3 linked regions of the Arabidopsis thaliana genome follow. The main gene of each other region encodes a partner of the protein of the gene in region 3 in a complex. Each region holds a gene or a part of one and is shown on either strand. Other genes may lie near its edges.

Region 1 (5,349 bases), on a different chromosome or scaffold from region 3:
TTCTTTTAACTAGTTCAGGAAGAATTTGCAAATTAATAAAACCCGGTGGTCGTATTTTCCATCTCCAAGGAAAACCGCTTTGATCTCCTATGAGAAAAATTCCCAACTCCCCTTTTGGAGCTTCAACTCTTACATAAAGTTCTTGTTTTGATAATTCAAAAGTAGGAGAAGGTTTTTTACTAATGAATCGATATTCAAAATCATTCCATTCTGGATTCCTTTTTCTATCAAAGCCCCTGCTTTCTAAATTCTCATAGGGACCCCCTGGAAGTCCTTCCAGAGCCTGTTGAATAATTTTTATGGATTCTGTCATTTCGCTAAGTCGTACTAAATAACGAGCTAATGAATCTCCTTGTTTTTGCCATTGAATTTCCCATTCAAATTCATCGTAAGACTCATAACGATCAATTTTACGAAGATCCCATGGTATTCCGGATGCGCGTAGCATTGGTCCGGATAAACCCCAATTTATTGCTTCTTCCCCACCAATAATCCCAACTCCTTCAACCCGTTCTAAAAAAATAGGATTTCGTGTAATGAGTTTTTGATATTCAACAACCTCTGTTAAAAAATAATCACAAAAATCCAAGCATTTATCTATCCAACCATAAGGTAAATCAGCCGCTATTCCTCCAATACGAAAAAAATTATGCATCATTCTCATACCGGTGGCAGCTTCGAATAGATCATATACAAATTCTCGTTCTCTGAAAATATAGAAAAAGGGAGTCTGTGCACCAATATCTGCCATAAAAGGGCCGAGCCATAACAGATGAGAAGCTATACGACTCAATTCCAGCATAATTACTCTGATATAGCTGGCCCTTTTAGGAACTTGAATATTTCCCAATTGTTCTGGTCCATTTACTGTTATTGCTTCTGTAAACATAGTAGCTAAATAATCCCATCGCGTTACATACGGTAAATATTGTATAATTGCTCGGTTTTCTGCAATTTTTTCCATTCCTCTGTGTAAATAACCTAATATGGGTTCACAGTCAACAACATCCTCACCATCTAGAGTAACAATTAAGCGAAGAACACCATGCATGGATGGGTGGTGAGGTCCCATATTGACTATCATAAGATCTTTTCCTGTAACTGGTCTCTTCATAAGTTTTTCCTTGATTCGTTCTGGCATGAATTAGATTTCTGAATAAAGAAGTTTATCAAAAAATTCAAGATCTAAAAAATTCACTAATTCACAATTTTTGAATTTAACGAGTTTTTAATTCCCGAATATTCAACTGATTAATTAATTCTTTATAACGTACTCTATTTTTTTTTGACAAATAAGCCAGCAGTCGTTGACGTTTTCCCAGAATTTTTCGTAGACCCCGCTGAGATAAATAATCTTTTCTGTGCAATTCCAAATGTGAAGTAAGTCTTCGTATCTTATTAGTGAAACTAAATACTTGAAATTCAACGGATCCCCTGCTTTCTTCTTTTTGTTCTTCAAATGAAATGACTATATTTTTTATCATAAAAAGAAATCCTTCCCCTTTTAATATGAATTGAAAGATATTAATTTTACTGATCAGTAATAATAATGGTAGTTTTTTTGTACAAGGATCTTAATTTAATTATCAACCTCTTAATTCTTCATTTTAGAAAAAAATCTAAATTTAGATCTCAAAAAGAAGGATTCTGTTAATTTATTTATGAATCCGCTATAATTGGTATCTATGTGATTGATTAAATTAATCTCATGTATAAAGATTTAATTTAAAACAATCCCTCATATTTGTGCATATAGTTGTTTTCATATACCGTAACTTATTATATATAGTAAAAAGTATTTATGATTAAGGAATTGGAAATCGCGTATACATGCGTATTCTTATCATACTGAAATGATTTCCGTTAGTAGTATTAAACCAATAGCGATTCATACAAGCTAAATCTTCTAATTTAAAATTGGGCCAAAGAAAGGATTTTAAATTAATTAAGTTATTTTTATCCTTATCAAGATCAAGATCTTTCTTTTTATGCAAAACGGTGGTCAAGTTTTGAATATTCTTATCAAATCTTGAATTTGTATCCCTAGCATTTTTTTTTTTTAAGTTGAAACAAATTAGAATTCGAAATTCTCTACGTCGTTTAGGGGATAGAATTTTTTCAGGGACAAAGAAATCATAATTATTTTTTTTTTTATTTACAGTTTTGTTTTGATATTTTGTAATGGATTTTTCAAAAAATTTTTTATTAATATAGCTTTTTTTTTTGTATCTTTTACTTATTTTGTGTTTATTTTTATGAACCAATGAAATACCTATGGTTCTATATATAATAAGTTGTCCATCGTTTTGTACAGACAAACGCACAGGTTCAATAATCAATATTCCTTTTTTCATTAATTTTGCAAAAGTGAAATTTTTCTCAATCATTAGAATGTCTAGGCTCATCTCTCCTCTTTCAATAGAAGATACCGCTATTTCGTTTGGATTGTTTAGTCTAACCAAGAGACAGTATACTTTTACATTATTGAGAATTTTTTGATTAAAAAAACAATTCCATCGCAATTGAAAACGCGAATATCTTGTCAGAAATAAATCAAGTTCCGCTTCTGTATTACTTTTGTATTGTTTTTTATTTTTACGTTTTTTTATTGTTGATTCTGCAAAATTTTCTTCAATATTTTTTTCTTGGTTTAATCGAGCTGCTTCGGGATTTCTTTTTGTTTCTTTATCTGATTCAAGTTCTACTTGACCGGCCGATTCTTTTTCTTCTTTATTCAGATTATAAAATCGAAGGGATTCTTTTTCATTTGATGGTATAAAACCTTTTTTCTTTCGAATGATCTTTTTATTAACATTTATGTTTTCATTAAAATTTAAAAGAAGTAATTTGATTGGTATGACCCATGGTTTCATTTTATATGTACTAGAAAATAAGAAAAATTCCGGAAAGAAAAAAAATTCAAAATTTGTTATACGCTGATTTAGTATTTCTTCATTCATTCCCATCCAATCAAAAAAGTTTCTTTTTTTATTAGCAAGATCCGTCTGCGTTATTTTATCAATTTTTTGATAATTCTGAACTTTAGTATTAATATATTTTTTTTTACTCTTAGTATCAACCCAAGGCTCAATAGTTACTTTTTTTGTAAACCAAAAGTTAAGAATTCTCCAATCCAAATATTTTCTATGCCGAATTTCCCCCATACCCCGAATATTATATTTTTCTAGAAAAGAAGAGACTAAACAATTATCTAGGGCAATGCCTATAGACATGTCAAAATTTTTTTCTGTAGAATGAATAGATTTATAGCAAAAAAGATTATATATAGAATCTTTTTTTACATTATGTTTTGGATTTAATAATGAGTCGGCCTCAAAAAATTTTTGTTTTTTATAATTATCAAATTTCTTTTTTTCATATGAATCCTCTTTGGTTAAACTTGGGTTTAGAACTAGAGAATCTTTATTTATTTTATTTTTCCAATTTTGGGTTACTAATCTAGCCCATGAAATCTGGGGTAAATTGTATTGATACTGACTTCGTAACCAGTTTTTCCATTGATTTACTTCGGAATTCAAAAAGGTTTTATTTTTCAATTCATAATGAAAGATTCCGTGTTCTTGAAAAAAAACCTTTATTTTATTCTTAACAAAAAAGGATGTTATGCATATGTTATATTCAAGAACAGCCTTTAATTTACAAAAGTTACTAACTTTAATTTGTGATAATTTGTAAAATACATATGCTTGTGATAAAGAGCATAGGTCATAACTCATTTTTTTTTTATTGGATATTAAATTTTTTATAGTCGAAATAAAATAAAGAGTATTTTTTTTTTTTTCTCCATTTTCTTCATTCTTGTAAATATATTTATCAAGAATTTTTTTTGTTGATTCAAAAAAAAGTTGTGTAGTAATTCTTGGAATATTAATGATACCTAGAAAAATAGCTATAGACATTTGTTCGATGCAAAATTTAAAAAAAAAAATGGATTTACGAATTAATCGGGTATTTTTTCTTTTGAATGTCTGCCAAATTTTTTTTGATGACTCAATTATTTTAGAATCATAACGCAGTTTGGTACAACTATTAGTTAAGTTTTGTTTTTCTTTTGAAATTTCTTCTATTTGATTTCTGATTGTCTTTTTTCTATCAATCAAATTTTTGATTTTTTTTTCGCTAAGTGAAGAATTTGTCCACTCCAAGGATTTATTTTGAACAGATAGTTCATGAATCATCTGATTACTTATTATTGAATCTTTTTTAGGTTCATTTAATTCATATATTTCTCTCGGGCCAAATAATGGAATTAGATTTCGTTTTGAAATTCCTTTTATAAAAATAAAGTTTTTGAGAATCCAGTTTTTAGTTTCTTTTGCGACTTTTAGGAAAATGGGTGCTCTTTCTTTGAAAATCTTTAAAACCACAAAAGACTTTTTTTTTAATTTTTTGATTCTTTTTTTTAATTCTTTAGAAATAGGTTCAAAAAAAGAAGGCTTTCTTTGGGCAGAACCAAACGGTAGTTCGGTTTCCATTCCCCAAACTGTTAAGAAACAAAAATCATTTTTTTCTCCTTTGTCTTTTGTTTTTTTTAGTCGAGCCTTCTGAGATGCTTGAAATTTAGATTTATGCCAAGGTTTAAGATAAAAAGGAAATAGGATTTTTATCTGAATACCATCCGTTAACCAGTTTCTTGGAAATTCTGTTTCGGATAGTTGAACCCCATTATAAGTACATTTAACATGCATTTCACGTTTCCAATCCTTTAAATCCTGGGACCACTCGGGAAATTGAAATAATAACATACGGACACTGTTTTTAATTATTATCAATAAAGGTAATATAATATATTTTCTAAGAATTGATTGAGTTACTAAGAGAGAACCTCTTATTATTTGAGCAAATAGGAAGCTATCCCAAGTTTCTGCAATTTCTATCCGTCTTGTTTCTTCTCTTTTTGATTGTTCTTCTTCTTTTTTATCAATTTTTTTTTTCCAAATGAAATTTTTAATAATTTTTTTTTTTAGCCCCCATATATCAAACGAAAAAAAAAAAAGTTTATCTATTCTATCAAAAAAAAGGGGGGAATGTACTTTTGCTTGAAAAAATTCCCAAATAACAGTTTTACGCCTTTGGGAACGCATGGATCCTTTAATTATCTCTCGACGAAAATCAGATTGTTGCGAATAACGGATCAAAGCCATTTCATCGTTTTGATCAGAATTTTGATTATCTTTGAGATTAGTATAAATCTCGCCATGTGGCTCTTTATCAGTAAAAACCACTACACGTTTTGCTTTTCTTGAACGAATTCCAGGCTCCATTGGTACATTTTCTTCATTTTCGCCTTCCAATTCTTCCAACTCACTTATTAATTTGTATGACCAT
Region 2 (12,252 bases), on a different chromosome or scaffold from region 3:
CAACTCAATGAAACTCAAGGCCAGAGTTAACCCTAATGTATTGTTGGCTGTTGCTGAACGGTACGGTGAACATGGAAAGATCACTAATCTCCGTTTCGACGGAGAAGTTATGACTCCTCGCGGCGGCGGTGGTTATTACGGTCAATCAGGCTATTACATTCCTACCACCTCCCGTGGTAACTATGCATATCCTTCGTTGTATCAATATCCTCCTCCGCCACATGTTTATGGCGGAAACTATGCTCATCCGCCGTCAAATCCCCCGCGGCACTCGGAGGCACCACGGCAGGCAACTAACCCGCATACAACACCGCCGTATTATAGTCTACCGGCGCCACCACCAAGAACGTTGCATAGTTACTCTTACGTAGAACCGCAGTATCGGATGTCGAGTTCGTCGGGTAGTGGATGCGTGATCATGTAATGTCTCATTGAGGAAGATGAATCTTCTTTTTTTGGTCTCAAAACCGCGTTTTAGGTTTATTCTATTCTTGATCGCTGTTTTTTTATATAGCGATTGCGTTATAGACGCGGATTCTATGTTTTTTTAAGAACCAAGAACACAAATTGTTGATTAATGGACTCCTAGGGCCATTCCAACTTTGTGGAAGTCCTTGACACACATTTTCTCTTTGTATTTGAAGTCATTATTTTAGTAGAATGAGTATAATTTTCACTATGTTCAACCAATCATGTTTTATCTCTTCAACTGGACATCTGTTTTCACATCAATTGGTTTTTGTCGACAAACAATAGCTATGTGCTCATTTTCATTTCAATATTGCTGGTTTATCAATAAAATGACAACAAGAATAAAAGGATATCAACATTGACTTTATGCTTAGCACTTTAACTTTGTTGCTATGGCCATATGAAACAAAAAAAAAATGAAACCGGGGATTAGATCTAAAACCCAAAAATAAAACATTTTGATCGGATATAATGAGCCTTAAGCTTATATACTATTAACACTAGTTCATATTCCAAGGTTTACTGATGAGTGATGAGTGTTGGGTCCATTAACCTCCCCGTACACAAACCACCCACAGGAACCAGTGAACAAATTACTGATTACTTCTTCCTTCAAACTTGACCGCTCATTCTTTCATCATTTTGCCTTTTGTGGTTGCAAAGAGTATAAGTTTTCAGTGTTTGAGCTTCGTAGTTCGTGCCATGGTTTCCTTCCCTTTGACACATACTTGAAAACAATTACATCTATTTACTCTACTGTTCCATATTAACTCAAACTATAGCATCTGAATGCATTATTATCTTTCCCACAAAATACTGTTTTTGTTTTAATATAAAGTCATATAACATCTTACCAAGTTTTTTTCTTTTAGTAAGTTACGAATATTGATATGATTTTTGGCTTTAGAGCTTTGAACATTATTGAGCATATGATTGTTTACATGTATATGTGGTTTAATCAATTTTCCTCTCAACAGGAATTGGACCCACTTAATATTAATTGTTATAGTATTATAGCTTGATTCTTTTGGTTTTGTTTCTTTGTCCATTGATTGAGTTTACTGTTCCTTCTCCATGTCTTTCGGTTCTACTTTATTTTTTAATTTTGGATTTTGGTATGTGTAGACAGCTCCATATGCATGATTGCTCTATACACTACCATTCATCTCTTGTTAGGTATTTACGGCTTTTTTATATCTATCATACGCCGTTTATATCTTAGATGATCGCCAAAACTGAAACCTACTTATGGAATGATACAAACTAAGATGTATAAAGTCGTTAGTTTAGAATACTTACATGCCAAACTTGTTGCAATCAAAGCCTAATATCATTTTATATAACATGAAATAAGCTGACCCATTTATTATCTTATTTTGTTTTGTCATATTTAGTTGTATAAGTAAGTTCATTTTAAATATAAACGGGAGTGGACATGTTCTGCTGTGTCAAAATCGTATAGTCTATCACTATTCGATAGATCTTTCGCTCCTCAATCGTTTTCTTAAACTAGTTAACCAAGAAAATTTACGGGTTTTTGTATTAGTAATTACATATACTCAATAGAGTACCAAATCTTCATTATCCATTCATTTCAACTGTCTCATTCCTGCTTGTTTGATACATGTAACATTCAGTATTAAACTCTTCTTTCTGGTTTTTTTTTTTTTTTTTTTTTTTTTTTGGTGTTTTCACGTTGATCAATTGAATTAGTCAAATCAAATGTTTTCCTTTTAATAAAAACCTCTCGAAAGGACTAGAGAAAAGATAAATCACATTAAATGGAACATGCATGATGCTAGCTAGTGTAGTTGAACCGTTTCAGAAAACAAAACAAAAAGTTGTTCAAAGTGAAAACCCAACTAAGCGATCGACTAGAAGATTCTCAACAAATTTCACAGTAACTTTATTTTTTAATATTCAAATAAAAATGATCTTATGGAGACTAGTGATGATGAATATGTAGGATAGGATAGTGGGGGAACTGATAAAAAAAAAGTATGGAGGTCTAAAACTAAAAGCAGAGAGCAGAGAATCTATATATGGAGTCTTTAAAGCAAACTTATATTACTTTTTAAACATATATTCGATTCTTCGTTCTCGTTGATAAATATTCTACAGGTTGTACATATGGATTGATGGATCATGGGATTAAATATATGTACACAATACATCATTTTGACGTAACTTATAACATTGTTAGAATTTTGTAATGAGTCTGAAAGTTTCTACAGTTATCATCTTAGGGCTTACTAATAGCTATTATATTATTGTTAAGAATACGTAATAACATTGATAAATGCGTATGTACATTTTACTTTTACCAAACCCATGATCAATTTAAAGAAATCTATACGTACTGTTCAAGCTTGGAATCATGGTACCGGATGTTCTGTTGGCCACGGAATCAGCAAAAGTTATCAGATCAAGAAAATTAAACATTTTAAAAATCAACTATAGCCAAGAAATAGAAAAAAATGGCTCAATCCATCACATATCATGTTTACACGAAAGTACATCATCTCCTAAAAGACATATAGAATTAGGAATATCCATCATACGTTTTTCTTTGACATTGAAAATTCATTATATGCAAAGGTATACACGTGTGCATGCACGGACAGCATTATTCCCCCGAAACTATCGGGTGTAGACAACACACCGCTAAAAACATGTAGTACATCAGTCTAGCCTATAGAACTAATAATGGAGTTCGATATGAAATATGTAAACATATAATTTTGTATGTATATGATCATATTGTAGTTTAATCGTATTTGACGAGTTTCATTTTTGCATAATATATACGAGGTAACAATTTTCAAGAAAAAGTGTAACGCGAGAGAATTACTTAGATTTAAAAAGGATTCCATTAAAAGAGATGCTTACAGAGGCTAGGAGGATGTAGAAGAAGCTAGAAAACGTAACTCGCTCTCTATATGAGCAAATTGCGTTTGATTAAACTTAAACAAAACTGATTAATTAGAAAGTACTCAAACAAGGATTAAATGCCGTTTAGCTTCGATTCTAAGCTCTTCCTTCATCTTTCTGATGAACTCGTCGAATTTCTTATTCATCTCCTCCTCCGTCGATGTCATCACTCCTACGTTCCCTTCTTCTTCCTCGTTTATAGATCCGCCACGAAGACCACACTCTTCCTCTCCATCATTATCTGCTAATGTGTTGTCGTCGTCATCTTCTTCTTCGTTGTCCTCGGTTTCTTGATGTTTTGTATCTTCCTCCACTGTAACTTCCTCTGCAAGAAAGGACTCTGTTCCTATTCCATGATCAGATTTATACTCTAGCTCCAGTATCGTAGTGTAACTCTCGAAATCTCCATAATCAAAGGTTTTATCGGTATTACTCCAAATTTTCTCTATTGGTTTGGACGAAGCGACCAAACCAGAACACTTAGCAACAACCACTACGAGACCATTGCAGAGGAGGAACATGTAGTTTTTATCTACTGCGTGTGTTACGAGTTGGATCATGAACCTATATAAATAGAAGTCGTGGCTGGTTAAAAGAGATAAAATCCACATCGAAACTGCTATAAACTTGGTCAATTTCTTCAGAAACTCCGGTTTTATTTGATCCATCTCTCTGGTTTCTTTTCTTTGGTTTTGTGAGTGAATGGTGAGGACTAGAATAAGAAGAAGAAGAAGAAGGAATTAAACAGGTTAAAGTGTAATTGTGCAAAGCGTTACACTACACTCAACGGCTTTGGTATTTATAGAATTTAAGCCAAAGGCAATGGGCATCTGTGGATGATTTTACCAAACCACCCCTTGTTCTGAAGCTGCATGGCTGCATGCCACGTGTGAAGTGTGATTTCCCAGTTATGTGGATAAAAAAAAGTCTCTGTGTTTCTTCTATTGTTTGTTTGTCAACTAATCCATGTTTTCTTATGTCCTATTATTGGTTACATTGCGAAACGACCTCTGGTTAGTGTTCCAAAAGTTCCGAATCTTTTATGACCTCTGATGGAATTCGGATTTTTTTTCTTTTTATATCATCAAGCTATACATGATGACTTAGCTTTTATGGTATGTTAATGGTAAAGGAATATGACTTTTAAGTCATGTATAGCTTGATGATATATATAAAAAAAAATACTCATGATTGAGACAAATACAAACGGAATAGTAAGGGATGATTGGTCTTTGAATAGTGTGAGGGCTTGTGGACAATAATATTTAGAAGATGTCATTGTCTTTTATGTCTTTGATTGGTTTAAGTCATTTTCCTTCTTTAAATTGCATGGATTTGGCGACATCATTATGTTAATTGTTAGGCTTCTTCTACATGTATTTTGCTTTTATTAAAAAAAAATTATACTTGAACTACGCTAACACCTTATATTTCCGTGTGAGATTATGGATCACACATTTGAAGGTATATATTTACAGATTATGGATCACACAATTACAGATAAAATTAAGAACAATGCATTTAAAAGTCAAAAATCAAAACTACGGAATCCTTCCTTGATATTATTGTCTTTTGTATTCAAATTAATATTATTTTATGAGTTTGTATTATTTCATCGAATATTTATATTGTCCATTTTTTTCCACATTCATTGCATATTTTCATGGGGTTTTGTTTGTCAAGTAGTTCATTTTGTCTTCCACTTTTCTTAAATTTTCCATCTACTTCACGAATGTTTGTGTGTTGAATTTTCCAAAAGATATTTATGAGATACAAAAGAATCTTCTAAAGACAGATCACAATCCACAAGAAAGAAAATACCGAAAGACAAATGAATCATATTTTACTAGGTTAGAATATTTTTGGTCCCCAAAAGAACTATAAAATATGGGCCTAATGGGTACTTTTGGTCCCTAACAGAAACTATACAATTTGGGCCTAATGGGTATTCATTTATAATAAGCGTAGGCCTTTTAATGAATTAATGGGCTTAGAATAAATAATATCTCATCATTTAAAAAAGAGAGAAAAAGGTTTTGGATAAAATGGATAACCCTCAAGAAGAAGCTGCTGAAGAAGAAACCTCATCCTTCGAACGTTAAGAGGAAGAAGAATAAGAGAAATCGATTCGTGGTTTTGGGAAAATTCAATGGCGGTTTCTACTGTATCGTCGTTTCTATTGCCATCTTTCGGCATTCCAAGCTCTTCGCCTTCTTCTACCAGACTCAAAGTCTCTCTGCTGCCTTCATCTTCTACCCATGGCGGCCTTAGTTCCTGCGTCCTTACGAAACCATCCGTCTCGCTTACGAAGGTCTTCGCTGTTCCCGATACCCTAGATCCAACTCCAGAAATTCTCGATGAACCCGCCTCTGAGGTACACTCTTTCCTCTGTCAGTCTCGGATTCGATTGTTTGCAGAGCTAATGCGAAATTTGGGGGGGGGGGGGGAAAGACATTGTTTTGCAGAATCATTTAGCACTTTGATGTTAATTCTGTTAATAATAGTCTTTGTGTCTGTGTGATTCAGGTTCCGAGCTCTTCATCCATCAGTGTAGACGCGGATAAGGTATATTCCGTTACTGTTACAGCTCACTTACTAGAATACAGATTTTACGAGTACTTGTGCATTGGTGTGTTCTAAATTCTGTGTCCATCTTCGTCAAAACAGTAGACTTTTTTGCTTTACTACGTTTTCACAGCGCTAAAAAGTATCATATCTGTTCTAACACCAATGCCCATTGCTGTGTTAGAGGTCACTGCTAGAAATTGATACGCAAATTTTCAAATTTGATGTCTTCAATGTCTATCTTTGTCAGATCAATAGACTTCTTTGGTTTACTACGTTTTTTCAGAGCGATAAAGAGTCTCATTTGTGTGAAATGCCTTCAAGTAGATATCATCTTGTATATACAGGAAAGGAGAAGTAATTGTATAGAAATCTTGATCGTCTTTAGATGGTATCTTCATAAGATTTGCCACAATAGAGTTTTGTTTTAAGGGGTCTTGTGGAGTTTCATTGTGTTTGGTTTAATTTGATTTATTTTTGTGTTATCAGATGGCGCCAAAGCAAAAGATTAGGATCAAGCTTAGATCATACTGGGTGCCTCTTATTGAGGACTCATGCAAGCAGATACTTGATGCTGCGAGAAACACCAATGCAAAGACGATGGGTCCTGTTCCATTGCCAACCAAGAAGCGTATCTACTGTGTTCTCAAGTCTCCTCACGTTCACAAGGATGCTAGGTTCCATTTTGAAATCCGGACACACCAGCGCATGATTGATATTCTCTACCCGACTGCTCAAACTATCGATTCTTTGATGCAACTTGATCTTCCTGCTGGTGTCGATGTGGAAGTGAAGCTCTGAAGAAGAAGCGTAACTACAATGGTAACAAACAAAAAAAGTGATCTCTCTTCTTAATGGTTTTTGAATATTGATGTGTCTTAGCTACTGAAACTGCACATAGGCTCCAATATTTATCCTCAAAAACAAAACTTCATCAAATTACAATCTTTCTCTGTTGACCATCAAGATCTTGATGCTTGTTCTTAACCAAAGTGTTTTTTCTTCCTCAGATGTGATGGGCACTTTTGCATTGAATGAACAGACTGTTTCAGATCAACTACATTGCTTAGAACTGGTAAGCCTTGTATCATCTTTTTTGAGAACCTTTGTAACGAAAATGTAAGTTGTATTATCTGGTCCTTGGAATCTATCTTTAGCGATGCTTGGTTCTTAGTTGATGAACATATCCTTAATTAAGCAAGTTCAAAGGAATTTGTTTTTGTTTTACTAATTGTTATGCAGTTTGCCTGTGTCCATTATGATAAGTTTTTTTATTTTTGTTGTATTCAAAGTGGAATCTTTTTTTTGAATATAAGTATTATAGTAGTATTATAGTAGGAATAAGAAGATGCACAACTTGAGTTATTTTAAAACCAGGAGGTTGGAATCTTGAAAGCGACTTCATTATTATAATAAACGTATAAGTTCGTTTATCCACAAACTCAATAGGGAAATTATAATTTTTTGTCACAACACATTTCATTTATCAATTATCCTCTAGACTCAGTTCGTCTCTTTTCTTAGCAGCCAATTAAAACCTGCAAGTGTTGTTTTACCAGTCTTTCCTTTCCAAGCTTACGAAACGATCCAAGGGAAAAAACAGTAATGGTTTCGAATTTATGTCTGATAAGTCGATGGCGCTTTTTCTTATCTAATTTGGAATTTTGGATGATGCAGAAATTGTCAACCCCCCAATATTATAAAGTTGAAGAATATTCTTTTCCATGTTCAATCATACACACAACTATATCATTATTTTAATCATATGAAATGGTTTTTGGTATAGTAAGAAGTGGTTCATTGTAAGATAATGTCTTGACCAAAGAAGAAAGAAAACGAATAGTCGCCAAAATTGAATTTGGTTTAAGTAGATGAGACAATGATGTGGCGGTTTATAATAGTCGTTAAAGTTAAGGCATATTCCCACGATATACCAACATGGACCGTCCATTATTATTTATTTTGATTATAGTTTGTTCTCAAAAACACTCGAATAAATTGCTTTTTTTTTTCACAGCATTACTGAAATCATACATAATTTCTGCTTCCATAATCTTATATTTTACGAGATCGGTTTTATGATAAACTTTCAAGTAGTACCATTATGGGTTGTATTTTCTTTTACTACCATTTTGGGTTTATTGCAATTTGCATAAACATATTCAAAACTATTTTGCGTTCAACCAAATGGTTAAACTCTGGTTCATATTGATATACCAAAACACTCATATTGGATCAAATATGTAAGGTGATAATAACACTGATATGAACTAGTATACTATGTCTTATGAGTCACTATTTTCTCTAACTTTAATAAAAGTTTAGCTGTGATTCATTATTCGTGATTATGGTATCCTCATATCAGAATTGCTTTGTTCTAATTCAGTCTTATTGTTCACTAATCCTGATCGAAAATACATGGCCACATTAGAAGCATCAAACAAACAGGGTTTTATGTTTTCCACACTCGAAGAGACAATATTTTCAACGGCTGAAACTGAAAGGAAACAAAATATAATTTTAAGACAAAAAAAAAAGAAAAGAAAACATATATTTCTTCTTTTGGTTGTAGTATTTTGAGACCTCACTGATTGTCGGAAAATAATTGGAGGGGTTCCCACTGATTTTGAATTTCTGTAATACCAATTGTTTGTTTTATTAGAAAACAACACCTTCAATTTGTATTTTCCCCTTGTTGTTTGGGATGGCAGTTACTTAAATAAAATATTTATCTAAAACCCATCGAAGAAATTGATTCTAAACATAACAAATAGTTATTTTTTTTCACACAATCTCACTTGGATATAGTTTATTAAGTCGCTGGTAGTCAAATATCTTCGTTTTAACATATAAGCTTTTTATTATGTTAATTTTTTGGTTTTCACATCATATGATTATGTTAATTGATAAAGCTATTTAATTGATCAGAAAGAGCGAGAGCCACATGATAAATTCAAGTGACTTTGGCTTGAAAATAGGACGATGGCTTCACGGATCTATAGACTAACTAAGTCATCTGTCATTACATACGTCACGTTTATTTCATTTTATAATTACAAAAACACCAAAGTTAAATCAAATTATTCTTTGTTTTTGTCAACTGATTTGATATTGATAAATTTGTTGAAATTAAGTATATAGTACACACGGGAGTGACTAAAAAAAAAAAAAAAAAAAGAGAAACTAAAGCCGATATGCAATGAATAAATACTCGGAATCAAAAACGGGAGGAACACAAAAAATTATTGGAGTCTAAGCCATATAGAAAAAAAAAAGATATTAAAACCACAAAGCATAAAACTCAAAGCAAAATGAAAAAAAAACATATATTCTTACCTAAAAATATAAGCAACTAGGCATATATAAACCTTACTAAACAACACTAGTTAAGTCAAATTAGTCTTAAATTGATTTATGAAAGGTCTATTATACACGTCTAACAAAAAGGGTTTATATATCTCGAAGGTGGCAATGAAATATATAGTTCTTGTGTTGAACAAAGGTAATGAAATATTTAAAATTAAATTTCACTTGTATGGGATTGCACTTGCTCGTATTCACGTCATAGTGAATTGTGATAATATATTCTTTTTTTTCTTTTCATTGTGATAATTTTATTTTTTAGTCGTTATAGTTTGTTGTTTTGGTATATACAAAAAAGAATGAACAACAAAAAAGTGGGTTGATGGTAACCAAAAAAAAGTAGGTGTCACAAAAAAGAACATGTGATAGATGAGCCTCACTCCCGAAAAGAAGATGTACACAAAAACTCTGACCACAATTTAAAATGATAATAAACATGTGTTTTTTAAAATTCTTTTACCAAACAAGTGCTACTTTATTACGACAGTCGACATATATGTCCTTTTAATTTTTGTTAATTCAATCGCACGAGAATTAAAACAATGATTCGATTTGCTATGCCATTTTTTTTCAAAAATAAATTACACACATTTTTCTAAATTAAATCCCAAAGAAAATATAAACAAATCTTATTATATAAATTATGGTTTTCAAAGTTACTAACTCATACGATTATACCACGTGTCAAGTCTATCGATCAGATGTTGATACGTGTAAGAAAATAATTAACTTTTTTCTTTTAAAAAAAATAGAAATACTAAAAAAGAAATCAATTAACTTTTTTCTTCTTAAAGAATTAGATAACTAAAAAATAAATCATTATTAACATATACTAATTCATATGACTATATCTAAAAAAGATTACATTTTATTTTTCTTAACCAAAAGGATAATTAACAAAAAAAATATATATATGTTATTGGTCAAATTTTTAATATATATGGTATTAACAAAATTTGTATTATTATTAATTATGTTTTGTTAATTGTTAATAATTTTTAATATTAACTAAGATATAGATTTGATCTCATATAAATATTATTTTGACATGAAATTATTATCAAGTAAGATGAAGTGTGTAGAATTAAAATCGAGTTTTTTATGAAATAGATAGTTAAAATGTATTACAAAATTGAATGTGTAAGATAAAAATTTGTTTTTTTATTCTAAATACTAAATTATAATAAAGAAAAAATGTGTATGTTACTATTTAGACTTCAAATATCATCAATAAGATTGAATGAGTATAATAAAATAAAATGCATAAAACTACTATTTTACTATTCAAAATTATATATCAAAACAATATATAAATTATTATTTTACTATTCAAAATTTAAATATTATTGATAAAAAATTATATTTACATCTTACACCTGACCTTATCTAGTTTCTTATATAAGTTGCAATAAAAATACCAACAGATTCATAACTTTTTTTGGCACCCAGTCTCTCCACTCCTAGTGGCCACTAGTGTTCACACACAGTCAAAAAATTTTAATACAAAAAAAATTAGGAATCGAATTCAAAAAGGAAAGAAATCTAAAGAAGAAGACAGAGAGAGAAACAATCTCCAAAATACATAAATTTGTTCACATCCTTCCGTTTTTTGTTTGGCCGAGAAAAAAAAAAAATGTTGCCGGTCACAAGTCGCCGCCACTTCACAATGTCCCTATATATGCTCCGTTCATCTTCTCCACACATCAATCATCACTCTTTCCTTCTTCCTTCTTTTGTTTCCTCCAAATTCAAACACCATACTTTATCTCCTCCTCCTTCTCCTCCTCCTCCTCCTCCTATGGCTGCGTGCATCGACACCTGCCGCACTGGTAAACCCCAGATTTCTCCTCGCGATTCTTCTAAACACCACGACGATGAATCTGGCTTTCGTTACATGAACTACTTCCGTTATCCTGATCGATCTTCCTTCAATGGAACCCAGACCAAAACCCTCCATACTCGTCCTTTGCTTGAAGATCTCGATCGCGACGCTGAAGTCGATGATGTTTGGGCCAAAATCCGAGAAGAGGCTAAATCTGATATCGCCAAAGAACCTATTGTTTCCGCTTATTATCACGCTTCGATTGTTTCTCAGCGTTCGTTGGAAGCTGCGTTGGCGAATACTTTATCTGTTAAACTCAGCAATTTGAATCTTCCAAGCAACACGCTTTTCGATTTGTTCTCTGGTGTTCTTCAAGGAAACCCAGATATTGTTGAATCTGTCAAGCTAGATCTTTTAGCTGTTAAGGAGAGAGATCCTGCTTGTATAAGCTACGTTCATTGTTTCCTTCACTTTAAAGGCTTCCTCGCTTGTCAAGCGCATCGTATTGCTCATGAGCTTTGGACTCAGGACAGAAAAATCCTAGCTTTGTTGATCCAGAACAGAGTCTCTGAAGCCTTCGCTGTTGATTTCCACCCTGGAGCTAAAATCGGTACCGGGATTTTGCTAGACCATGCTACGGCTATTGTGATCGGTGAGACGGCGGTTGTGGGGAACAATGTTTCGATTCTCCATAACGTTACGCTTGGAGGAACGGGGAAACAGTGTGGAGATAGGCACCCGAAGATTGGCGATGGGGTTTTGATTGGAGCTGGGACTTGTATTTTGGGGAATATCACGATTGGTGAAGGAGCTAAGATTGGTGCGGGGTCGGTGGTGTTGAAAGACGTGCCGCCGCGTACGACGGCTGTTGGAAATCCGGCGAGGTTGCTTGGTGGTAAAGATAATCCGAAAACGCATGACAAGATTCCTGGTTTGACTATGGACCAGACGTCGCATATATCCGAGTGGTCGGATTATGTAATTTGAAAAAGTCTTTGTTTTTGGTTGTTGTTGTTGTTTATGGCTTTTCATTGTTCTCTCGGCTTCTTCTGTTATTGAAGCTGGTGAAGTATATGATATGCGATGATGCTGTTTCCATA
Region 3 (11,379 bases):
TATAAAACATTTTTTTAAATTATCATCTTGTTCACATCCATTGAGTCATATATAGCGCTACTAATTACTAATCTTAGTTCTATCATCTATGTCTCAAATTTGACAATTTACTAAATTTGAATTCAACCAAACTAATTTATGAAACTAAATTTATGAAATTACTGCAAAAAAAAATCATCTATCATCTAGTTATTTAATATATCGAAAATATTTAGTTAATTTTCTGTTTTTATATAGTCAAAATAATCTTCTACACCCACAATTAATCCATCAAGAAGTTAAAAGACCAATTGTTAGTGGACAATAAAGAGTCGGGCTTTTTATGTCACTTAGCCCATATCAAGGAATGGGAACAACCAAGTTGTAAACTACAGTTTGGGTTAATTTGATCTTGGCCCATTTTATTATTTAGTCCTATATTATCTAGAAATTAATGATTTTTAGTTTACAATGTTTTCATATTTTTTCAATATTTTTTATAAAGTTACAATATTCCCTAGTCTATCTATAATCCACCATAGTGTTTGTTTGTTGTTTTTTATGTCGTCGACTAATAGAATTTGTTTATTCTCATGAAATGGTATTTTTTTTAGCACATACGGCGTTCCTGATTAAAAAAAAACACAAAAATCAAAAGTTAAAATATGAAAATTCGAGAAGAACATTCAGAGTCTTTAATACCATTAAAAAACATTCACATTCTTTAACTCATTTTATTTAATTTTTTGTCCCTTATCAAGAATGAGTATGTATGTAGTACTCTATAAGAAGACAGAAGTAAGAATTGGGTATATATGATTGTGTGGACATCCTTAGTGTCTCGTGAATCGACAGAGACTCTCCAACTGTATTCCCTTCCCCATTCTCATTCCCATAAGCCTTCACTTTCTTAAATTGCATGTATTGTTTCCTCTGTTAAAGAAAATAGAAACTATAACTTACTTAAGTCTAGTTATCAACTTTAGCCTCACTGGCTATATGTTTCTCCAAATCTATAAACAAATGTATAATAAGCAATGTATAAGTTTCTTAGAACAATTATATTGCGAATTAATGAATCTCTGTAACCTCTTCTTACATCTAGTTTGGATTACCGATTAGAAATATGTAAATCCGTCCATGATAGACTGTTACTGATATTAGTTAACTATCAAAATCATCACCACAGTAACTAATCATCTATTCTCGGATGTTCTAAAAATAAATATTTCGATGTAATATTGACAATTAGGATATCCTTCTAACAATAATGATTGTAAATGTCATTCTTTAAAAAAACATGGATGTAGACTATACTATAAACATCAAACATGACAGACAGTGATTCACAGTTTGGAAATGAAAACATCATGTCATGTTTTAGTCTCATCCAAAATTCAGAATGTAAATAAGGGAAAGATGATGATAACAGATATTTTCAACACAAAAGTATCTCAGATATGTTCATCTTCGGAACCTTTAACTCAGAAAAAAAAAAAAAAATCATATGTGTCTGAATTTTTTTAGTTTTAGCAACCCCGCAATTCAAGAAACAATGATATAACAGGTTTGGTATTTTACTTTGAACGTGTTTTTACCGTGTACTGTTCGATCAAATCTAATCGACACGCGAACGTGAATCCAAAATATTAGTGTTGTCTTTTTTCTCACCTCTTACTATTTTTTACAATAATTCAGCTACTGAGCTGTAGAAAGATAGGGTCACAAGACATTATAGTAGCTAGCTTTGTAGTTCGATTTTGTATTTTTCCCATGATTCTTATTAACATGGCAAAACAAAAAGAGATAAGCTTCACTCATCTTTTAACAATCTCTTCGTTTTTCGTGGCTCACTCATCTTCACACCACACTCCTATATATATACCCCCTCTTTCCTCCGATAGTGAGAGATAGAGTCGATAATTATGGAGAGAATAACGACCTTATGGTTTTGGTTTAGTCTTATGATTTTCTTAGGAATCTCTATCAATGGAGGTTTGTCTCAAGGACAGCAACATGTTATGAAGAAGACACGTTCTTCTGCAGTTGTAGTAGGAACTGTCTACTGTGACACTTGTTTTAACGGCGCCTTCTCGAAATCACCCAACCACTTAATCTCAGGTCTGGTTTCTGATTTTTGTTTTTTTTTCCTCTTGCAGTCTTGCTCGTGTTTTCTTGGTAACACTACTTGGAAAATAATGTTTTTTGGATTCTAGAACAGAGCACTCTGTTTTGGAAACTTATAGGGTTTTTTCTTGTTTGTGGGTCTAAAATCTTAGAAAGAATTATGAAAAGTTTTGTGGATCTTGTTGCAGGTGCTTTAGTTGCAGTGGAATGCATTGACGAGAACTCGAAACCGAGTTTCAGACAAGAAGTGAAAACAGACAAGCGCGGCGAATTCAAAGTGAAGCTACCATTCTCTGTGAGCAAACATGTGAAGAAGATCAAGAGATGCTCTGTGAAGTTGCTAAGTAGCTCACAGCCTTACTGTTCTATAGCTTCGTCTGCTACTTCTTCTTCTCTCAAACGCCTTAAATCAAACCATCATGGAGAGAATACTAGGGTTTTCTCTGCAGGGTTCTTCACTTTCAGACCCGAAAACCAACCAGAGATTTGTAGCCAAAAACCTATCAATCTCCGCGGTTCCAAGCCTCTTTTACCGGATCCTTCATTTCCTCCACCGCTCCAAGATCCTCCTAATCCTTCCCCTCTCCCAAATCTCCCTATCGTTCCTCCTCTTCCAAACTTACCTGTTCCAAAGTTACCTGTTCCGGACTTACCTCTTCCTCTAGTTCCTCCTCTTCTTCCACCAGGACCTCAGAAATCAGCTTCCTTGCATAACAAGAAATCTGATTCCTTGAAAGACAAGAAAACCGAAGCACTAAAACCCAATTTCTTCTTTCCGCCAAACCCGTTAAACCCGCCATCTATCATCCCTCCAAACCCGCTCATTCCTTCTATCCCAACCCCTACTCTCCCTCCAAACCCGCTTATTCCTTCTCCCCCAAGTCTCCCTCCAATCCCACTAATCCCTACTCCCCCAACTCTCCCTACAATTCCGTTACTTCCTACTCCCCCGACTCCTACTCTGCCACCGATTCCAACAATTCCGACTCTTCCACCTCTTCCGGTTCTTCCACCTGTCCCTATCGTGAATCCGCCTTCACTACCGCCACCACCACCTTCTTTCCCTGTTCCGCTCCCTCCGGTCCCTGGACTCCCTGGCATCCCTCCGGTCCCTCTTATCCCTGGAATCCCTCCGGCCCCTCTCATCCCGGGAATCCCTCCTCTTTCACCTTCCTTTTCTAGTCACCATCAACCCTAAATTAGCAATCCTTTCCTTACATTTCCAATTATGTAATCTATATGTATCATCCGCTTTAAATTGTTACTTTTTTCCTCTGCATTTTCACTTGTTGGCTTGTTGTCATTTCAATAAATATTGTTTACTATGGAGTTTTTATCTTGCTGCTTTTGTTACATCAAAAGTCAATTTAAAAAACAAATGGCCCATTTTGACTTCATTAAGAGATTCGGAAACTTTTTGTAACTATCTAAAAGAATAAGTACCTTTTCGTAATTATCACATTTGTTTTTCTATGGGTGATTATATTCAGTTCCAGTGAGTGACTGGATCTTATAAAAAAAAACTCAAATTCAAAATTATCCGATCTGATTCTATGGCTGAGACATTCAAGATCCGAAAACTGGAGATCTCCGATAAGAGAAAAGGATTCATCGAGCTTCTAGGTCAACTAACCGTCACCGGATCAGTAACAGACGAAGAATTCGATCGGCGATTCGAAGAAATCAGATCGTATGGTGACGACCACGTGATCTGCGTGATCGAAGAAGAAACTTCGGGAAAAATCGCTGCTACGGGTAGTGTGATGATAGAGAAGAAGTTTCTGAGGAATTGCGGTAAAGCTGGGCACATTGAAGACGTTGTTGTGGATTCAAGGTTTCGCGGGAAACAGCTGGGGAAGAAAGTTGTTGAGTTTCTTATGGATCATTGCAAATCAATGGGTTGCTATAAGGTGATTCTAGATTGTAGTGTGGAGAACAAAGTGTTCTATGAGAAATGTGGGATGAGTAATAAATCGATTCAAATGTCTAAGTACTTCGATTAAACGTTCATCATGATGATGATGATGATCTTTTGTTTTCTTGTTTTGAATTCGCCATTTTAATGATAGAAGTTTTTTCGAGTTTCGATGATTACACAGAGGACTAATGATAGACTAAACAACACAAAAGCTTTAGACTTTGAAAAGTTAATGATACCTATGATAAACAGATATATCTGGTGAATCCAAATCAAGACAAATCTCCACCGCTTGATTGCCAAAGATTGATGATGTCTGTAGCTTGGTTAAGGAGGAAGACACGATGAAGCTCAGAGATCCAAGGCTTGCTCTCTAACAAAGTTTTGAGCTCTTCCCAAGCATCTTTCCTAGGCCAGAAGTAGTATGGACTAAGTGGGATTGTTCCAAATCCTGGAATCATATGGTCTAATGCAACTCCTATGTCCTTTTGCATCCATACAAACTTCAGTACCACCTTTGGTTTCTCTAGCGGCTTCACTAACACACGCATCTTCTTCTGCAATATAAGATGACGATAACAAGGGAAGAATCATACATCTCTACTTCCTTTCACAAAAGTTTTCACAATGAAGCAACATAAGGGAGGTTTAACACTAGCACACACTGCCTCTTCTACCACAATTAAATAGATGGAGACAATACATTTGGTTTACCACATTTTCGTTCAAATGACAAAAAAAGGCTGCAACTTTGTCTAACAAGCTTATAACCCCAATTTGTTCCAAGAGAAGTTTTTTGACGATGACTGACCTTTCCAAGTGGCGGAGATTCAGATTCTGGTAGTTCATGAGAGAAGGTAAGATTGGAGGGGGGATATGCGAATATTCCGGGATTGATACAGGAGTGTCTCGCCGGAATTTGACCCTGATTCCAAGTAGAGCACGAAAGCGATGGTCGAGAAGAGGGTTTGAGCTTCGTCGATAGAGAGATATGAGCTATGGGTTTCGAAGAGAGCTTCTGAGAAGGTGAAGCTGTTCTGAACCCAAAAGAAGCACTCTGATTTGCTTGAACCGCCATTTCAGCTGCGTTTGAAGCTTCTAAGCGAGCAATTTTATTTTGAGAGACCGGGGAAAGCAAAAACACAGGTTTTGCGATTTTCTGGTCGGGTCGGGTCGGATCGAATCAAACGGGTTTTGTAATTTGAAGTGTCAAATAATAATTAGATTTAATATTTTATGTTCATCCATTTCTGTGGCTCCAACTTATACAATTTGACGATAATATGAGTTAGATTCAATATTTTCATGACATTTGTTTTCAAGTTTCTTCTTGCAAATAGATCGAAAGTAAGATTAAAGACAAGGGAATAGTAGCACATTTGCATATTCAAAAATCCAAACAAACCCTGCAATAGTAGTAGCAGTGAACCTTTTTTGGCTTTTACAAAACATCAGTCTTTTTTAACTTCCTCAAAGCTAAGCAAGCATGTCATAATCATCCAATGTGTCATTGTACTCAAGAACCTTTCGTTTAATCTTGGATGAATCAACCCAAGTGATGAAATCTTCCATGTTCCGAGTTACTAAGAAAGCTGGATCAGTAATTGTTTCTGGTCCTACACGAACGTGTCCTTGCTCTATGTATGTCACAGCTTCTTTGTGGTGCTCTGCAAACTTCAGGTGAACCAGCACAGTAGATAGCCTACGCCTGCAAATAAAAAAAAAGAACCGATATGAGGCAAACGAAATGAGAACATTTGGCTATCAAGGGTTTAAGTAACTGCCTATATAGGCTCTTGCATATACTCTTACCTACAGAAGGATGAAACTGATAACCGCTCAGTTAGAGTCAAGCTTTTCCTAGTCGGTATAACACCCATGTTATATCTGCCGTTTCAAGCGTACATGTAAGAAACACAAGTCAGTCAGCCATTAAGAGAACAAGTTTTCTCATTGCAGAGTGGAACTACGCAATCAACAAGTTTCAGTAGGATGGCTCTTTTTCCCTATACAATAAGCCTATATTATATAGTAACTTAGCTCTATGTAGAAGCTATTCAAGAAACAGATTCTGAAAGAAACCCATTAGATCACACATTTTACCAGGATGAATTCAACCTCTAATGGATTTCAAACCAACGGTCCTAAAATCTATATAGAAGCATAAGGACCCCCAATTTTAATTATCTCTAAAAGTGGTTAACAAGAAAAACAACAGGAGGTCTCTAAGATAAGATCGGTGTAAAAAACTGCAGAAAATGATCAAGTCTCATGTTCTACGACCTAAATCTAGAGAAAACAAAGAACCATTGCTTGTAATAAGCTCTATACTTGAACAAACTGGTATATATATTTAAAAAACTCACAGCTTCTCCAAAAGCATATCAGTCATCTGAATACGAAAAGGATCTGCTGGATCCATTTGTTTCATTATATTCGTCAGTTTCTGCACCATCCTACACAATCCTGAATACCTGCCCAAAAGAAAAAACATTCTCAAGAATCAGAAAAAGACCATTGTTCATCACAAAACACTCGAACCAGAAGAAGAAGAATAAGTAGAACAGAGCTTTAAGAGCAAATAAAGGTACCAACTTTTTGTAATCATCACGAGAGCCCATGTGGTATCGATACGTAATCTCGTTTTCCCGATGGTTACCTTCTCTTTTCCATTCTAAGAAATTTACTTTCTTTATAAGCTTCTTCTCGTGATACTTGAGCTTTCTCATCTCGGACGGTACTGATGATATGCAAATTATACGAAATTAGGGTTTATTTGTCCAATAATTCAGATTTGAAATCCTGAATAATCATAAACCCTTGAACATTCTAATGGGAACAACATAGGATTTATCAATCTCTGTACAATTAGTCTATGAGTAAAATTGAAGTAGTTTACCTGAGAGAGATTAATCGGCGCGGGATAGAGTAAGGATGAAGAAATAATCGGCGATGAGGTTCTTGGGTTTGAGCTGAAAGAAAATGCTGGAGAGGCTTAAACCCTAATTGGCAGAGGAGTAGTAATTCAGAAACCCTAATCGAAGGAGAGGAAGTCAGATAAATCCGACGGTCCCTATCCTCTGTTTGATTGTAACTTGTAAGGCCTTAGCATAACTAAATCTTGTTGAGTTGAGCCTTTTAAACTTCTCATTATGGGCCTGAGAAGCCCATGTAGATTTTACCTTAATTATGGGACTAGACTAGGAAACGGATTTACTAAGGGTGCTTTGAATGCAAAATCAATTCGCTACGTTAAAAAAGATTATTTGGAAGTTCTAAGCATAAACAAGCATCAAATCCATTGGAAGCAAAATATATAGTTTTACTACATACTATGCAATGGAAGTAATTGTATGTGAGGTCGCATGGAAGTGATTGTAAAGCATTGGATGATCTTCTCTATTATCGATCGGAAAATGCAGCTAATAAGGGACCCTTGATTGATATAATTGACAAACGGGTGATCTATAGGTTAAAAGAATTAAGTTTTATAGAAAGTAATAAAGGGTCCCAATTATATTACACTTGTTACACAAAATGCATAATCTACTAGAACTCTCGATAACGACCAAAATTTCAAATCCAATGCACACGTATATACATACACGCATGCGCACGAATGGGCTTAAAAGTTTAGAGTGTTAAGATGATTGAGCCACCGACACCGAGTTTCGTGGGGATATATAATAATTGTTGATTTCCCTTTTTTCACTATATATTTTGCGTTTAAGCTATCTTCAAAGTTATTGGTTTCTTTACCAATACGTGTTTGTTTGTTCTATTTCAAGCAAAAACATAATCGCAGAAACGTCTCCTTTATTTGTTTTGTTCTTTTCTTAATTCTGAATACTTGTGTGTAAGTTTTGAAATATAAATATATCGTTAATGCTTTGTTCTGTTACTTTACCTTTCTATTAATATCAAGTAACTTTTAGGACGAAGATGTTCATTTAATGTTACTTAAAATACGTAAGCATTAAAATTTGTGAATTGCAATTTTGATTAAATATATAGACTGAAATAGAAATGACCCATTTGATTAAAACTACAGATATTTACACGCTTTTCTCTCTGTTTTCTTCTTAAACTCTTCGTTGAAATGACAATTACAGTTATAGAAAAATCTTAAAACTCTTAGATTTTTTCCATTGGAGAAATGTATTCGTATTTAGAAAAATAAATCATTAAGTTCCGACAGCAGTGTAATGTCCGATGTCGGTGGAATGTATATGGTCATAGAAAATAACGTACATTAATTCGCTCAATAAGTAACTCATCTCTAATCAAATTCTTCTATCGTCAAGTGAAAAGAAATAAATACTGAATTACATTGGAGATGCTTTCAAGTCATTACGTGACAATTGGCCTTTACTTAAATTTCCAATATTTATCAATCGATGTTACACGCACGATTTGATATAAATAACAATCATTTTCGAATAGCAAACATGAAGGAGATTGATCTAGATTTTTGGACCGAACATCGTCTATATATTGATATATATTGGCTGATATAATGCTGTGTTTTAAAACAATAACCTGTTCATAACCTCACATCTACACGTGTATCTTTTTAAATTGTCTTCACGAATGACAAAAGAAAACAAATCATTCAATTTGATCTTTCATTGTTTCTAAACTTGGCCGGCGAGCGAGATCATTGCTTAAAGCTTTATTAAACTGCCGCTACAGCTAGACATCGTGGTTAGTCACTTTCACATGTTTAATGAATGAGTTTTTTTAAACTAAAAAAATAAAAATAAATTAAATCTGTTAAATCAGAAAATTTAGTTGATAGGTTTGAAATTTCAATTTTTTTTTTACTTCCTCAAATTTTATGATGTAATAGGCGACATATTTATATTTGTTTTATATATAATGGATAGGAAAAAAAAATTATCAGTTGATTTACCAACGATTTGAAAATAGTATAATGAATGTATATATATATACTTGATAAAAACATCTACGAGACTACGAGTGTTTGTTGGCTTGTGTACTTTCTTATAAAGAACCATATCTAGATTGATTTTCTTGATTTTAAAATATTTAGAGGTACATTAAAAAAACTTGTATATTTCTAGAGAGACTACTGAAAATTTATTAAAATATTATAAATTGAATATCACCAAAATCTAATTTATATTTTAAAACTCATAAATAAATAGAATGTGATTTTAGCCAATTTTGTAAAATAAAATATGAACAAGACAAAGTTGTGGTTAATATTTTTCTTAAAAACTATGAACAAGACAAAATTGTGATAAAATTTGAAAAGCAAATAAAACAAATCCAATTTTAAAAGACCATCTTCTATTAATGGCTGCTTTTATAAAAAGTTTAAAATGTATCTATTTATGTTGGTTACTTGGTTCATGACGAAACATATTAATTCCTTCTTATGTATTCATCCATTTGTTTCCTATAAATATCCTTAGATCCAATTTTCACCCTAAAAAAAAAAAACATACTAAAAAATGCTCAATCTTTTCTTCTCTCAAAATTATACATAATGCTTCTTTTAAATATACTCATTATCATACTGTCGAAATTTCGAATAACATAATGCTGAAAATGTTAGTTCAGTCGGCTCGGGGCCAGATTTATACCATACTTCAGTCGAAATCAAGGTAACAAAGCTAGCTTAAGTTTTGATCTAATGTTTTGGACCTTTTTATCGTTTAATTCTTTTTAATCAATAAACATAATACACTTCCACATACTTTTCTATATTTTATTTTAGATTGACAAATGACAACTGTGAGCAATAAATAGAGTTGGTCCATCCATATATATTTAATTATTATATAGTATATTGTAGGCCTACTTTTTTATTTTATTTATTTGCCAAATATTCAATATTTATTTGGATCTCTCTTTGTCATTGCTGTCACAAAACGAGCGATCCACAAGTCTAGAATATGCCCTTTTGAACAATTTTTTAATTTTATTTTTATAAAGAACCGACAGAAAATGAATCTTGCCGTATTAATTTCCATTTATCGATAAATTTATTTTATTAGTTAACTCAAATAAAATTTAATTTCGTTTTTCAACCAATCTTGAAAATGATTGGGTTAACACATATTTATGTATGTTAAATATGTAATTTGATTTTATTTTCTTGTCAAATACTTTCTGGAAGTTAACTTGTGGATTAGTTTTGCTTAATGACAGAGTTAGTCTAGGGGCAACCTGCTAATGTGGTTTAGATATAACTGAAACTCTGTTATTTAACTTCCAAATATATTAATTTATCCCTCTGGAAAATAAAACTTAAAAAATAGCTTGAATGTATTTGGTCAACCAAAATTCAAATTTGTACCTTGTTTAAGTTATCCAAAATACATATAAGTGTATGTATATAACTATACATATCCACTAATAGCAAAATAATACAATGTATTTTATAAATTTAATTAAAGGTCTACTTTGGCTCTGTATCAAAAAATATATTTTAAATTGCAAAGAATATTACAAAAAATATTTCTCTGTAAAAAAAAAGTTTATAAATGACACTCCAGTTTTTGCCGACAAAAAAGAAGAAACCTAAAGACTGCTTCTTTTTTTTTTCCTCCTTGGTAGAAAAAAGTTCTGAAATTTGCACATTCTTGTCTCTTTTTTTCTCCACACCGAAATCTTCTCCCTATTTCTCCGACGTCCTTCTTCTTCCTTCTCCGGTCAACACCGACCGGTTCTCCACGGAGACTCTCGTCTCCCATTTTTTTTTTTGTACGGCTACTTTGATCGATCGCCATTGCTGAATTTCAAAGCCTTCTCTGTGTCATTTTTTCTGTAACTGGAAGTGTGAGCTTCCATCAATTGAGAGTTGAAAGTTGACTCTTAATTAAAACCTGAGAGAGAGAGAGAGATTCTTCTTTTATTTAATAGAGCAAGATCTGGGTTTTAGTCAGATTATTAAGTCGAGATCATCGTGGGCTACTTTAAAACTAAAAATCTGGGTTTTTCGAGGTGTGATTAATGCTCACAGATTTGTGTGGAGATTACATTTTCTCTGAGTGTTATTAGAGAGGATAATTAAAAGCTTGAGCACCAAACCTATTATATTGTTTCATTCCTGTCCTTTTAAATCTGCAGTCTTTTAAGCTGTGGTTAGTTTTTCCAGGCTTACCCTTTAAGTGTTCGATGAAATTCCTCTGAGGGGTTTTGGGAACTGTGAGAATCTTCTGTGAGAGTGGGGTTGGTGGGTGATATAGAAAAATGTGTAAAATGGAGAAGTTTCTTTACCACAGGAAACTATGGGAGATGAATGTTAAGCTTTTAGGAGAGAGCAAAGTTGAGAAACTCAAGAACTCTTTTGTTTCGAGGCCTCGTATGAGCTTATGGATGATTCG

Evidence for each region.
Region 1: PSRP3/2 (region 3) and rps15 share a complex: the UniProt entries of both Arabidopsis thaliana proteins name them as parts of the 30S ribosomal subunit.
Region 2: PSRP3/2 (region 3) and AT3G13120 share a complex: the UniProt entries of both Arabidopsis thaliana proteins name them as parts of the 30S ribosomal subunit.

Annotation. Positions count from the first base shown.
Region 1 is NC_000932.1:122,079-127,427, forward strand, and holds rps15 (ribosomal protein S15), read right to left. Parts: upstream 1,485-5,349; coding exon 1,218-1,484; downstream 1-1,217. Other genes in the region: ndhH (NADH dehydrogenase subunit 7), read right to left, coding at 1-1,114.
Region 2 is NC_003074.8:4,214,826-4,227,077, reverse strand, and holds AT3G13120 (Ribosomal protein S10p/S20e family protein), read left to right. Parts: upstream 1-5,430; 5' UTR 5,431-5,551; coding exon 5,552-5,776; intron 5,777-5,928; coding exon 5,929-5,967; intron 5,968-6,456; coding exon 6,457-6,768; 3' UTR 6,769-6,789; exon of another isoform or gene 6,790-6,805; intron 6,806-6,977; 3' UTR 6,978-7,768; downstream 7,769-12,252. Other genes in the region: AT3G13140 (hydroxyproline-rich glycoprotein family protein), read left to right, coding at 1-424; AT3G13130 (uncharacterized protein), read right to left, coding at 3,465-4,070; SERAT2;2 (serine acetyltransferase 2;2), read left to right, coding at 10,964-12,139.
Region 3 is NC_003076.8:5,136,823-5,148,201, reverse strand, and holds PSRP3/2 (Ribosomal protein PSRP-3/Ycf65), read right to left. Parts: upstream 5,213-11,379; 5' UTR 5,103-5,212; coding exon 4,836-5,102; intron 4,582-4,835; coding exon 4,297-4,581; 3' UTR 4,110-4,296; coding exon of another isoform or gene 3,660-4,109; 3' UTR 3,596-3,659; downstream 1-3,595. Other genes in the region: AT5G15780 (Pollen Ole e 1 allergen and extensin family protein), read left to right, coding at 1,905-2,100, 2,295-3,304; GNA1 (glucose-6-phosphate acetyltransferase 1), read left to right, coding at 3,660-4,109; AT5G15750 (Alpha-L RNA-binding motif/Ribosomal protein S4 family protein), read right to left, coding at 5,501-5,732, 5,837-5,911, 6,391-6,498, 6,620-6,753; AT5G15745 (uncharacterized protein), read right to left, coding at 10,444-10,462, 10,574-10,746; AT5G15740 (O-fucosyltransferase family protein), read left to right, coding at 11,246-11,379. UniProt on the Arabidopsis thaliana protein: Component of the chloroplast ribosome (chloro-ribosome), a dedicated translation machinery responsible for the synthesis of chloroplast genome-encoded proteins, including proteins of the transcription and translation machinery and components of the photosynthetic apparatus.